Ovis aries: one gene and its partner. The protein of the gene in region 1 interacts with the protein of each later gene in a pairwise test. Links are inferred from orthologs where the notes say so. Each region holds a gene or a part of one and is shown on either strand. Other genes may lie near its edges.

Evidence for each region.
Region 2: the proteins of RFX6 (region 1) and FRS3 interact in binary tests that used the Homo sapiens proteins (3 or more experiments, as listed by UniProt). The two-hybrid records come from large-scale screens. The link is inferred for Ovis aries from reciprocal best matches to the Homo sapiens genes RFX6 and FRS3.

The regions. Positions count from the first base shown.
Region 1 is NC_056061.1:21,008,015-21,013,674, reverse strand, and holds the start of RFX6 (DNA-binding protein RFX6), read left to right. Parts: upstream 1-2,191; 5' UTR 2,192-2,248; coding exon 2,249-2,468; intron 2,469-2,724; coding exon 2,725-2,881; intron 2,882-5,559; coding exon 5,560-5,660. UniProt on the Homo sapiens protein: Transcription factor required to direct islet cell differentiation during endocrine pancreas development. Specifically required for the differentiation of 4 of the 5 islet cell types and for the production of insulin.
Region 2 is NC_056073.1:15,616,697-15,621,930, reverse strand, and holds the end of FRS3 (fibroblast growth factor receptor substrate 3), read left to right. Parts: intron 1-1,377; coding exon 1,378-1,539; intron 1,540-2,342; coding exon 2,343-2,500; intron 2,501-2,763; coding exon 2,764-3,678; 3' UTR 3,679-4,090; downstream 4,091-5,234. UniProt on the Homo sapiens protein: Adapter protein that links FGF and NGF receptors to downstream signaling pathways. Involved in the activation of MAP kinases. Down-regulates ERK2 signaling by interfering with the phosphorylation and nuclear translocation of ERK2.

The DNA of each region.
Region 1 (5,660 bases):
TTTTAAAAGATCATTTTCTATATTTACCTATTTTCCTGCCTAGGATTTTTTTTTTTAACTTGCTTATCAGTCTTATGTCTCTAAATCATTTTTCTTAGGAGCTCAAATTATGATAATCACAAATGGCAGTTTAGGATGATAAAAGCTTTTTTCCCCCCCTTTTCAGAACACCACTCTTACTGCATCTGACAGGGATTGGTATGAACTCTTTTTTAAACATCTGGTATAATTCAGCATTCAAGTCCTCTTGTCCTAGGCTTTTATTGTTGGAAATGTTTTTATTACTGATTCAAGCTCTTCACTTATGATAAGTCTTTCAGATTTTTATTTCTGACCAGTAGTACAAAGAACTTACATATTATTTTGTTAGGGGAAAGAGTTTACTTAAAAATAAAGCAAGAAATTCACTTGGGGCCTTAAACAGTTTGTGTTTTCGCTGATCAATTCAACTGGATAATTGCCAGATATTCACTTAGTGTCCGTATGACATACACACACACATACAACCTGTCCATCAAGTGATATTTTTAAAAAGCTATTTTTAAATCCTAGTAATTTTTTTGAATGTTTTTCTTCTGATTATGTGATACAAGTGGACAGAGTCTTTCTGTGTACAGTTAACCACGAGGACTTCCTTTATAGAGTGAGTCTGAGGGTGTTTCTGTAAAGAAGGGACATTCTAAACTTTATCATTGTAGGACTGAGCCCCATGGACTGAGAAAACTCTGAGGCTTTACAGAGACAGGGTACTGGGTGGAGGAGACTGATACTCAAGGTTGTAGGGAGTGATGGTGGTATAGACTTAGAGCTTTGGTTGCCTGGATAGCTGGACTGCCCCAACCTAGATCCAGGCTCTGGAGGTACCAGGAGAAAATCTCTGACAGAGAAGTGGTGACTTTTCCATAAGTTACGCTGAAAAATGGGTAAGGGTCAAATGTACTCATAATGTTAGCCACTTTGGCAAAGTAATGCTCTTAGATTGTTTTACTCCCACCTATAATCCACCCTTCAGCCATCCACCACCTTGGGTCCCATTTTGCTTTTTCCATGTTATATTTGGATATAATATAGTTTAATATTGTTAAATTTCAGGAGTGATCTATCTTACTAAGCTCCAAATGAGGATGGCAGGCTGCAGATTGTGGTGAAGAAGTGTGAATGAAAGCAAGATATTTGCTCTCTCTGGAGAGCACCAAACATATAGATAGTGAGCACAGGGCAATATCTGTCAAAAGAACAGAAGGTGGAAGGAAGGAAAGATTCGGTGTCAATGGGGCAACACAGAGCCCAAGTCTACTGATTTCTCCTTAAAGAAAGAACAAGATATTTTCCCCCATACACGACTATCTCGGCATTTTAGATTGGAAATGAAATGTGGCAACTTCATTTTTTCATTTCCGCAATGGTCCATTGCACTACTACCAGGTATGAGGGGTGAGGAATCGCCAGGGATGCGTTTAAATTACAAAATACGTAGAGAGTGGATGCATCTTTTCCTCTAAGCTCAGAGCCAGATCCCCAGAGGGCAGAGAGGCAGGCATTCTGCGCTGGGGAGCAAGGCAGTCTTCCCACTAGTGGGCCGAGATGGCGTCTGTCCGGGTCACTGAGAAGACCCCTTACCACTCCCCACCCCCCACCGCCCAGGATTACTCTGGGAATAAATCAGCCCAGACCATGTTCTGCAAAGACTGAGCGGTGCTCTGAGGTCCCCCTCCTCCGGCCTGGGCGTGCAGAATCAGGGCAGTCCCCTGAAGCATCCTTGATGTCACCCGAGAGTAGAGGTGGGGAGAGTTGCTTCTCCCCTCCCTCGGCCCCCCACCCCACCCCGAGATGACAGTGTCGCTTTCTTGGTTCCTTGGAGAGCTTTGGGTGTGGAAAAGTGTCCTCGGTCCCAGCTCAAGATGGGAGAAGAGGAAACAGAGGGAAGAGATGTGGGGAAAGGGACTTCATTGCTCAGGCTTGACTCGCGCAGGTGAGAAGTGAGTTCTGAGCGGAGCATCTGTCAGGATGGCAGGCAGGTGGAGACGGGCAGTCCCGCCTCGGCCCACCCGGTTCCCTGGGCTGTCAGAGCTGCCCCTGGGCCGGGCCTTCCTTCTCCGCGACGCCCGGGGGATCCCGAGCCGCGGCCTCCGCCTCCGCCCCAGCGGCCCGGGGTCCGCAGCCCCGCCCCGCCCCGCCCCGCCCCGGCCTCCCGGCTCCGCTGGGCGCCGGTCGAGCGGCTGGCGCCCAAGTCTCGGCGGCCAGGAGGATGGCCAAGGTCCCGGAGCTGGAAGACGCCTTCCTGCAGGCGCAGGCTTCTCCCCCGGTTTCCCCCGAAGTCCAGGAGTGTTGTGTGCAGCTCCTGGGCAAGGGTTTGCTCGTTTACCCCGAAGAAAGGGTGTACCTGACGGGCGAAGCGCAGCCGGGGCGCGAGCTGGGCAGCGGGGAGAAAGCGGACGACTCGGAGCTGCCCGGGGGAGTTAAAGCCGGTGAGTGCTCTGCCCTCCCGGGACGTGACTGGGACTCGGATGTAGTTTTAAAAGGGCCTCCAATGATAAACACATCGCAAACGTACATGTGTTTCCCCTAGGAAAATGCTGGTCGAATAGAAATTAAGTCTAAGGGATTTTGTATAACTCTCCTCCGAACCCCCCATAGACCACCCCGTTTGACGCCAAGATACATTTAGAGCTAATTAATTGATTTTATATTCTGGTTTTCTTTATCTTTTCAACTGGCAATTAGAAATGCATTTAAGCAATGGTAACTTTTCCTCCGAAGAAGAGGATGCGGATAATCCAGACAGCAAAACTAAAGCAACCGATCCACACCTCTCACAGAAGAAAACCATCACGCAGATTATGAAGGATAAAAAGAAGCAGACCCAGCTCACCCTGCAGTGGTAAGGCTCGCTCAAGGGTACCCTTGAATTTTGAAAGTCAGTATATTCAGATTCTTTGCTTTTTTCCATTTGGTTCTCTCAAACGTTCTTGCAGGAGTTTAAAAGACCAATTAGAAATTCATCCAAAAATTGTTTTCACTGAATGTTTTGTATAGAGACATATTCTGGTAAAGGTGAAAAATGATCTGCAATGCAAATAAAAACCATCACTTTGTTCATTATTGGCTAACTTCTTTGTAATTTTGTAATTTCTTTGTTGTAGTTTCATTATTGTAATTCCTTTGAATGTAAGCAATAATGAATTTTAATGACTTGTTCAACATGCAATCAACTCATAAGCTTTTATGTTTATAAAACATGATTCTTAAAAAATAAGTTAAAAAGAGGAAGGATCTTAACCCTACCTTTTACCATAGAGTGCAAATTCAAAATTGTGTATCAGTTGTGTATCAATTCAGCCATAAGATGAAATATGTTTGAACTAGAAGACATAGATCAATCAGTTAAAATGGTGCTATTAACTTAAATAAATATTCAACTATTTTAAAAGTAGCTTTTATATATGATTTATTACAGTGAAATATCACTAATTAGATTTTATGGAAAATCTTCTAAAACCAAGAGTTTATCAGTAGGCTCTCTAAGTAAAAGTCCTACAGAAACTTTTATAATATTGTTTCAAAAGGAAGAGGAATCTAAAGTAAAAACATAATATTAAACTTCCCTATGTAGGGTAAAGAAATTTCCTCCCAAATTCCAAATAGGATGCAAATAAGTAAAAATGTCTATTTGCTAATAAGTTACACAATCTGTTTATATGTAAAATGTGATCTAAATCTTAAAAAAATACAATAGAAAAAGCAGTATCTTAATAAAAACTAGTACATTTTATTTCATTTAAACATTGAATTACAATTTGCATATACTGTTTGTGATTGTGTCCTTAATTCTTCCAAACATTTGAAATATAAGTTTAATATCCTTCTAAAATTATGGCTAATCTATTGAAATTGATATTTCATTTATTAGTTGAGAATATACTAGGGCAGTAAATAATTGAGCTAATTATCTTAAATATTTAGGAAACAGCTATTTTCTTTAGGATAATTGGAGCAAAAAGGTTTTGACTTCAGATATATTATGAAGGCTTTTTGAATGATCACTTCCATTCAATTTGAATGAATGGAAACAAATGGGTTTTTATTTTATAAATATAAATACATTACAATTAAAGAAAAAAGTCATATCCAAAATTAAGATTGTATTTATGTCTAGGATTAGTCAGTATTTTGAAGACAAAAACAATGCCAACAATATCAATACAGCCAGATGAAAAAGTGGACATTATATGTGTCATTTAAATATAGTTAAAACAGTTGAATATTTCTCAGTAATTTTCATATGTTTTGAGACTATAAAATGTCATCATTTTTGTTTGAACTTTCCACACTCTCACCCCCTCCCAGAGATATATAGTTTTAAAAAAACCTACATGAGTTATTTACCTTTTGATAATTTTCCCTTACGACTACAGATTAGAGTGGGGATGTTAAAAATTAGAATTAAAAATTAAAGTGCCTGAGTAGCTTCAATTTTCACTGTCAACTAGGTGTTTGGTTTTGTGTATGTAAATTTTACTGGGATTTCCATCTTTCTAAGACAAAGGAAAAAAAGAACCAAATCCCAGGAAACATCCTGTAGCTTTTATCTCACGCACCTTGGGAACATGTTAAATCAGAGATCTTGAAGAGTTTCACTCAATTTTAACCTAAATGTATATTCTATATTGTGTTGCTCTTGTATAGTACTAATTATGATCTTACTGTACATAAAAAGAAAGTAAGTAAATTTTAGCCATTATCGTCTACTGAAAGGGTGGAAGAATTGAGACTAGAATCCACAAGTTCTGATTTCTTGATGGCTGTTCAGGTATTTGTAACACTTAAATATATGTTATTACCTTTATATAAATTGTGTGCAATTGCAATTGCTGGTATCCAAATTAAGTGGAATTATTTCTAAATTTTCAAAGATTATATGATTATGTTTATAATATAGAACCGAATTTAGTGTCACGTTTGGCGGCATCCATAGAGAATAACATTATGTTTCGTGAGTACAGGATCTTTTAGGTAATGATAAGTACTAATTACAGCAAAAAAGGGTAGAGATAGAGGTAAACTGGTACTATTTCAAACTTACAGTTAATGTATTCTTATGTATTTTGCAAATAAATGTGTCACCATACTTCCGTAACTATTCAATGTTCAGAGCCAGTTTGGGAGTGAAAGTAAGAGATTGTAGGAAGCCTCTCGACAATGTTATTTTAAAAATCCATCACCTTCAATTTCACCATTCATATTTGGATATCACAGAGCAAAGCATGATGAACAGTGAAGATTTACTCAGAAGTAAGGCTTATTCAGGCAGGTGGACCAGGCAGAAGTGATTTTGTCTTAGCCGTGGGTGTTTTAACTGCACTAACAGGTGTTCATTGAGGTTCTTGCTCTTCTAACTTTAATCCTTGTGATCATATTTTCAATATTATCCAGAATAAAAGAACATGAACACTTTTATATAGAGTCTGTGTTCAAAGGGAGCAGTAAAACAATGTGAGAGGGGGAAGGAAAGAAGAAATAAAGAAAAGGTTTGAACTAATTCTTTGCCCTTTTTCTTAGGCTTGAAGAGAATTACATTGTATGTGAAGGAGTTTGCTTACCACGGTGCATCCTTTATGCACACTACTTAGATTTCTGCAGGAAAGAGAAATTAGAGCCAG
Region 2 (5,234 bases), on another chromosome or scaffold:
CTCTGATGAGGCCGCCAGCATAGCAGTGCATCTCTGTGGCTGTAGTGGCCGGGGGAGCCCTTCCCTCCATGCACCTTACTGTGGAACTCAAGAGACAGAGACAGTTAACGCTGGCTGAGCAGCAAGAGGGGAGGAAGGGGCCTCTCTGCTCTTGGTGGGGTTTAGTCCACACTGAGGATCCCAGAGGAACCACAGATCCCAACACAGGGTTCTTCTAAAACTCCAGTCTTTTAAGCCCTTGACATATCTTGGAATGAGATAGAATAGAATAGAATGAGGAAAGAATAGTCCTGTTTCTTCTCCCTTCTACCCTTTTCATTCCATTCCTGCAGACCTGACACCCCAGCTTAGTCTGTCTGTGTGGACACCCACATGCACCTCCCAAGTAGCTTCCCTGAGTCCTGGTCCCCATTGTTACAGGAGGATGTAGAATCCCAGGCTGGCCCAGCATCCCAAGGACATCTTTGGATTCCCTGAGTCCAATCCTGCTGAGGACCATGTGTTGCTGCCTTGGGAGTTTGAGGGGCTGTAAGGGTACCCGCGTGGAGGAGCCACATGGTTGCCATGCCATATTTGTCCTTTAGCTAGATGGCCCATCCTTCCTTTCTCTACCAGAGTTCAAGCTCCGTGAGGTCAGAAGCCCGTACACAGTAGATAGTCACTCTCTGGCCAGGCACTGGGCTAAGTATACAGTGAACAGACAGTGAACAGGACAGACCCTCCCACCCTCAAAGAGCTTTGAGACTGTTGGGCATAGAGCTGAGGGCTGGGGCCCTGGCAGAGCTCTTTTTTTCTGGGGAGCAAGGGGTATCTGACACTATTCTTTCCACTTTGATTTTTTACTTCACTTTCTTTTACCCCTGTGCACACACAGCCTTATGAAAGTAATTTAACCTCAGGAATATAGTTGAAGTACCAGAGCTTATGGCTCAGACGGTAAAGAATCTGCCTGCAGTGTGGGAAACCTGGGTTCGATCCCTGGGTTGGGAAGACCCCCTGGAGGAGGGCATGGCAACCCACTCCAGTATTCTTGCCTGGAGAATCCCCATGGACAGAGAGGCCCAGCGGCCCACAGTCCGTGGGGTCACAGAGTGGGACACAACTAAGTGACTAAGCACAGCACGCTAGATCTTAAGATGATGGAAATGCATAGTGTGTGTTGGGGGAGGGGAGTGAAGGCCTTGGGCCGGCTCCTCCCATGGCTCTTGGATATTGGCGAGTGTGCGGAGAACAGTCAGGATGCTAACCCTAACCCCTCAGGCCTGGGACTGAAGTTCAGGGACGTTTCCTGAACTCTGTGCATCCTTTCAACCTCCCTGGTCCTCCCCTATAGGATGCAGGGTCAGAGGAGCCTCATTTCTTCCTCTCCTTCTTCAGGGATATTTGCATTTAAGTGCTCCAGGGCTGAGGAAATCTTCAACCTCCTCCAGGATCTGATGCAGTGCAACAGCATCAATGTGATGGAAGAGCCAGTCATCATCACCCGCAACAGCCACCCGGCTGAGCTTGACCTCCCTCGGGCCCCCCAGCCTCCCAATGGTGAGGAAACCCCTCTCCTCAGCACCCCAACGCACACACAAGCACAGGTCCAGGGAGCACTGGTCTTGGAGGCATGAGTCAGGCAGGCAGGTGGAGGATGGCTGGGTGAGCCAGGCTTCCAGGACCATCATCCATCATCAGACAACTCCCAGGGATAGATAAGTCCTGGCCTAGACTAATCAGGTGACTCAAGCTGAGGCTGGGGAGTCCAGAGCCTTGTATTGACGGATGGTCGGGGAGCAGACAGGAAGACATTGGGTTTCCATGGAAACGGCAGTCTGGAGCCGCTTTGCTTCCTTTCTTCTATCTACTGGGTCATACCCATATACCTTTCCTGACAGCTGGTGCACCATCTCTGCCCACAGCTGTCTGGAGAGGTTCCCACGGTTTCTGCTTGTTCATTCACTAAATCACATCGAACGCCTGCTTTGTGTCCTGCCCTCCATCAGCTGGCCCATGAGGGACAGAAGAAATAGACACACGGTCCTTGATTTTGAGGAGCTTCCCTGGAGCTCACTGGCAGAGCTGGAATGAAGTGTAGGGTCAGTTCAGTGACAGCAAGGTGTGCCTTAAGTGTTTCAGATAAGGCTCTGATGGGGGGAGTGGAGTTCAAGCTGAGCGTTCAGAAGAATGGCAGAGGTTGAAGATCAGACACAAGGTGAAGACAATGGGGACTGCCAGTTCGGTGGGTGGGCCCTCGAGGACCCTGGGAGTGTCTCCCTGGGAGAGTCCCAGGCTGCCACATGCACGGTTGCAGGCAGCTGCCACCTGGTTTAAGGACCCCTTGTCTCCTGTGTGCCCAGCTCTAGGCTATACCATCTCCAGCTTCTCCAATGGCTTCCCTGGCTGCCCAGGGGAGGGTCCCCGATTCTCAGCACCCCGGCGCCCCTCAACAAGCAGCCTCCGCCACCCCTCGCTTGGTGAAGAGTCCACCCATGCCCTCATTGCCCCAGATGAGCAGGTGAGCAACTGGCTGCCCAGGGTCTTCCTGTTGGTCTGGTGGGGGTAGGGGGTTGGGAAAATACAGCACCTCCTGCCAGTGAGGCTCATGAGAGGGAAGAAAATGGACAGGGCCCCTTCCTGTCCCAAGAAAGGGAGGCCGCTTCCCTGGAAGGTTTGGAGGGCAAGGAAGAGGAGGAGACTGCAGCCCTCTCCCATGTGCTTCTCCTCTCATCCTGTCCCCTGTTCTCTGCTTCCTTCTTGCCCTTGGACCCTCCCGCCCAGTCCCACACCTACGTCAACACGCCAGCCAGCGAGGAGGAGCAGCGCCGAAGCCGGCACTGCCTGCAGCCCTTGCCTGAGGGCCGGGCGCCCTTTGCACAGCAGGCCCGGGGCCCCGACCAGCGGGACCCACAGGTGTTCCTGCAGCCGGGCCAGGTGAAGTTCGTGTTGGGCCCCACCCCAGCTCGGCGGCACATGACCAAGTGCCAAGGCCTGTGCCCGAGCCTGCAGGACGCCCCCCACCACAACAATAACAACGAGGGCCTTTCAGAGTGCCCGGCCCAGCCCAAGTGCACCTACGAGAACGTCAGCGGCGGGTTGCGGCCGGGGGCGGGCTGGAAACTGAGCCCGGAGGAGCCGGGCTGGAACGGCCTGGCCCAGCGCCGGGCTGCACTACTGCACTATGAAAACCTGCCCTCCCTGCCCCCGGTGTGGGAGAGCCAGGCCCCACAGCCAGGGGAGGAGGCCGGGGATGACGGTGACTCAAGGGACGGGCTCACACCCTCCTCCAACGGCTTCCCGGAAGGCGAGGAGGACGAGACCCCGCTGCAGAAGCCCACCAGCACCCGGCCTGCCCTCCGCAGTCACGGCAGCTTCCCCGTGCCGCTGACCCGGCGCCGAGGCTCCCCAAGGGTCTTCAACTTTGATTTCCGCCGCCCGGGCCCGGAGCCCCCGAGGCAGCTCAACTACATCCAGGTGGAGCTGAAGGGCTGGGGTGGAGACCACTCCAAGGGGCCCCCGAACCCCTCCGCCCCCCGAGGCCCTGTGCCCACCACGCACCCTACCCGCAGCTCAGACTCCTACGCCGTGATCGACCTCAAAAAGACCGTGGCCATGTCCAACCTGCAGAGGGCGCTGCCCCGCGACGACGGGACCGCCCGGAAAACCCGGCACAACAGCACCGACCTGCCTCTGTAGGGGCGCCCCTCCTCCGCCCGGCCCATCCTCCGCCTCCCGCTCCATGCCCTGAACCCCCACGCCGGGGCTCGGGGCTGCTTCGCAGAAGGGCACTGAGGTGGACCAGATGCTTACCGCACTGGCCAGAGTCCCCAAAGATATCAGCCGCAGAGTCCCCCGGTGTCCGAGTTGGGGACAGGAGGGAGGAGGACCAGGCGAGGAGGGAGCCGCGGTGTAAACTGTGAAGGGCCCCCCGACGGCAATTAGCACCCTCCCGTTCTGTCATCTGTCGCGTCTGTCGTCTGTGTTTTTTTGGTTGAAATTTGGAAACATTTTGTACCTGTTGATTTTATTTATCAGTTTATTTTTCTATTTATTGTTTTAAATGTAATTTAACATATTTATTATTAATATAATTATTTTTAAATTCTGACGTGGATGATGTCACATTTTTAAAGAGTTTTTTTCTGGCATGCCTGGGGTGGGAGTCCAGGAGGCCTCACAGAGGTAGGGTCTTCACTCTAGGGTGATTGTGGTATTTGTGACAAGTAACAACCATTTCTTTTTCTCCTCTAAGAAGCCCTGGCCAGGAACTGAAAGTTGCCAGGGACGGCTGCTCTGTCAAAGTAAAGTGACAAGGCACCTGGAGTCCTTGATGCCCAAAGGGGATCTGTAAGAAAAACTCCCCGGACCCTCTGAGGCTGTAGTCAGTGGGAGTGGAATTGAGGGGTGGGGTGCTGTACCATATTCACCTTCTCTGGACTCTCTCACTGAGTCCCCCTTCCGCCCCCAGGTGGATCCGATTGGGTACTGCCCTCCTTTCCCACCTTGGCCCCAAGGGGGACCCTGGATCTTCCTTCAGCGCCATCCACATGGCAGGGTCAAGACTAGAACCTTTAAACAGCACTTTACTAAAAACCCAGGAAAAGCAAAAAAAAACAAAGAGGGAAAAACAGAGTAATACAGAACTAAATAGACTTACAAAGTGTGACTTTCCCGGAGAAGTCCTCCCTCGGAATGAGCTCTTTGGGGCATTTCTGACCGACTGCAGGGATGGGGCCCTCACAGAGCCACCACATCGCAACTCCTGCCTGGGCCCCTCTGCCCAGGGCTGTACGCTCCCCCTGCCTGAGGCCGTGGTTGCAGAAGCTCCCTTTCCGTATAGGGAGGCTGCCTCTTTCCTCTTCCTCCTCCCACCAGCCTCCCTGCCTCAAAATTCCCCTTTCTGTCTCAAACCCCTGAATGGTTAATCTCCAGAAAATCCAATGTCTCTAATGAGGCACTTAGGGCCCTGTGGAAGAGAGGGAGCAGGGTTTGTCCAAGCCTTAGGGACAAGCCTTCTTGTCTCATCACTGTTTGTGCCCCAGCTCCCTGTCCAGTGGAGTGAGCAGACCTGTCCTCCACACCAAGGAAACAGGCCAGGGCGGGGCCCACCCATCTCCTTCCCCTCCTGCTATTCAACCACTGTCCAGGGCCTCAATTCCAGAAGTGCCCTCTTCCCTGAGCGGGAATTAAACCAACCAGCTATCAGAACCCCCTGACCTTGGGTGTCCCTCTCTGTGCAGGAAATGGGCAAA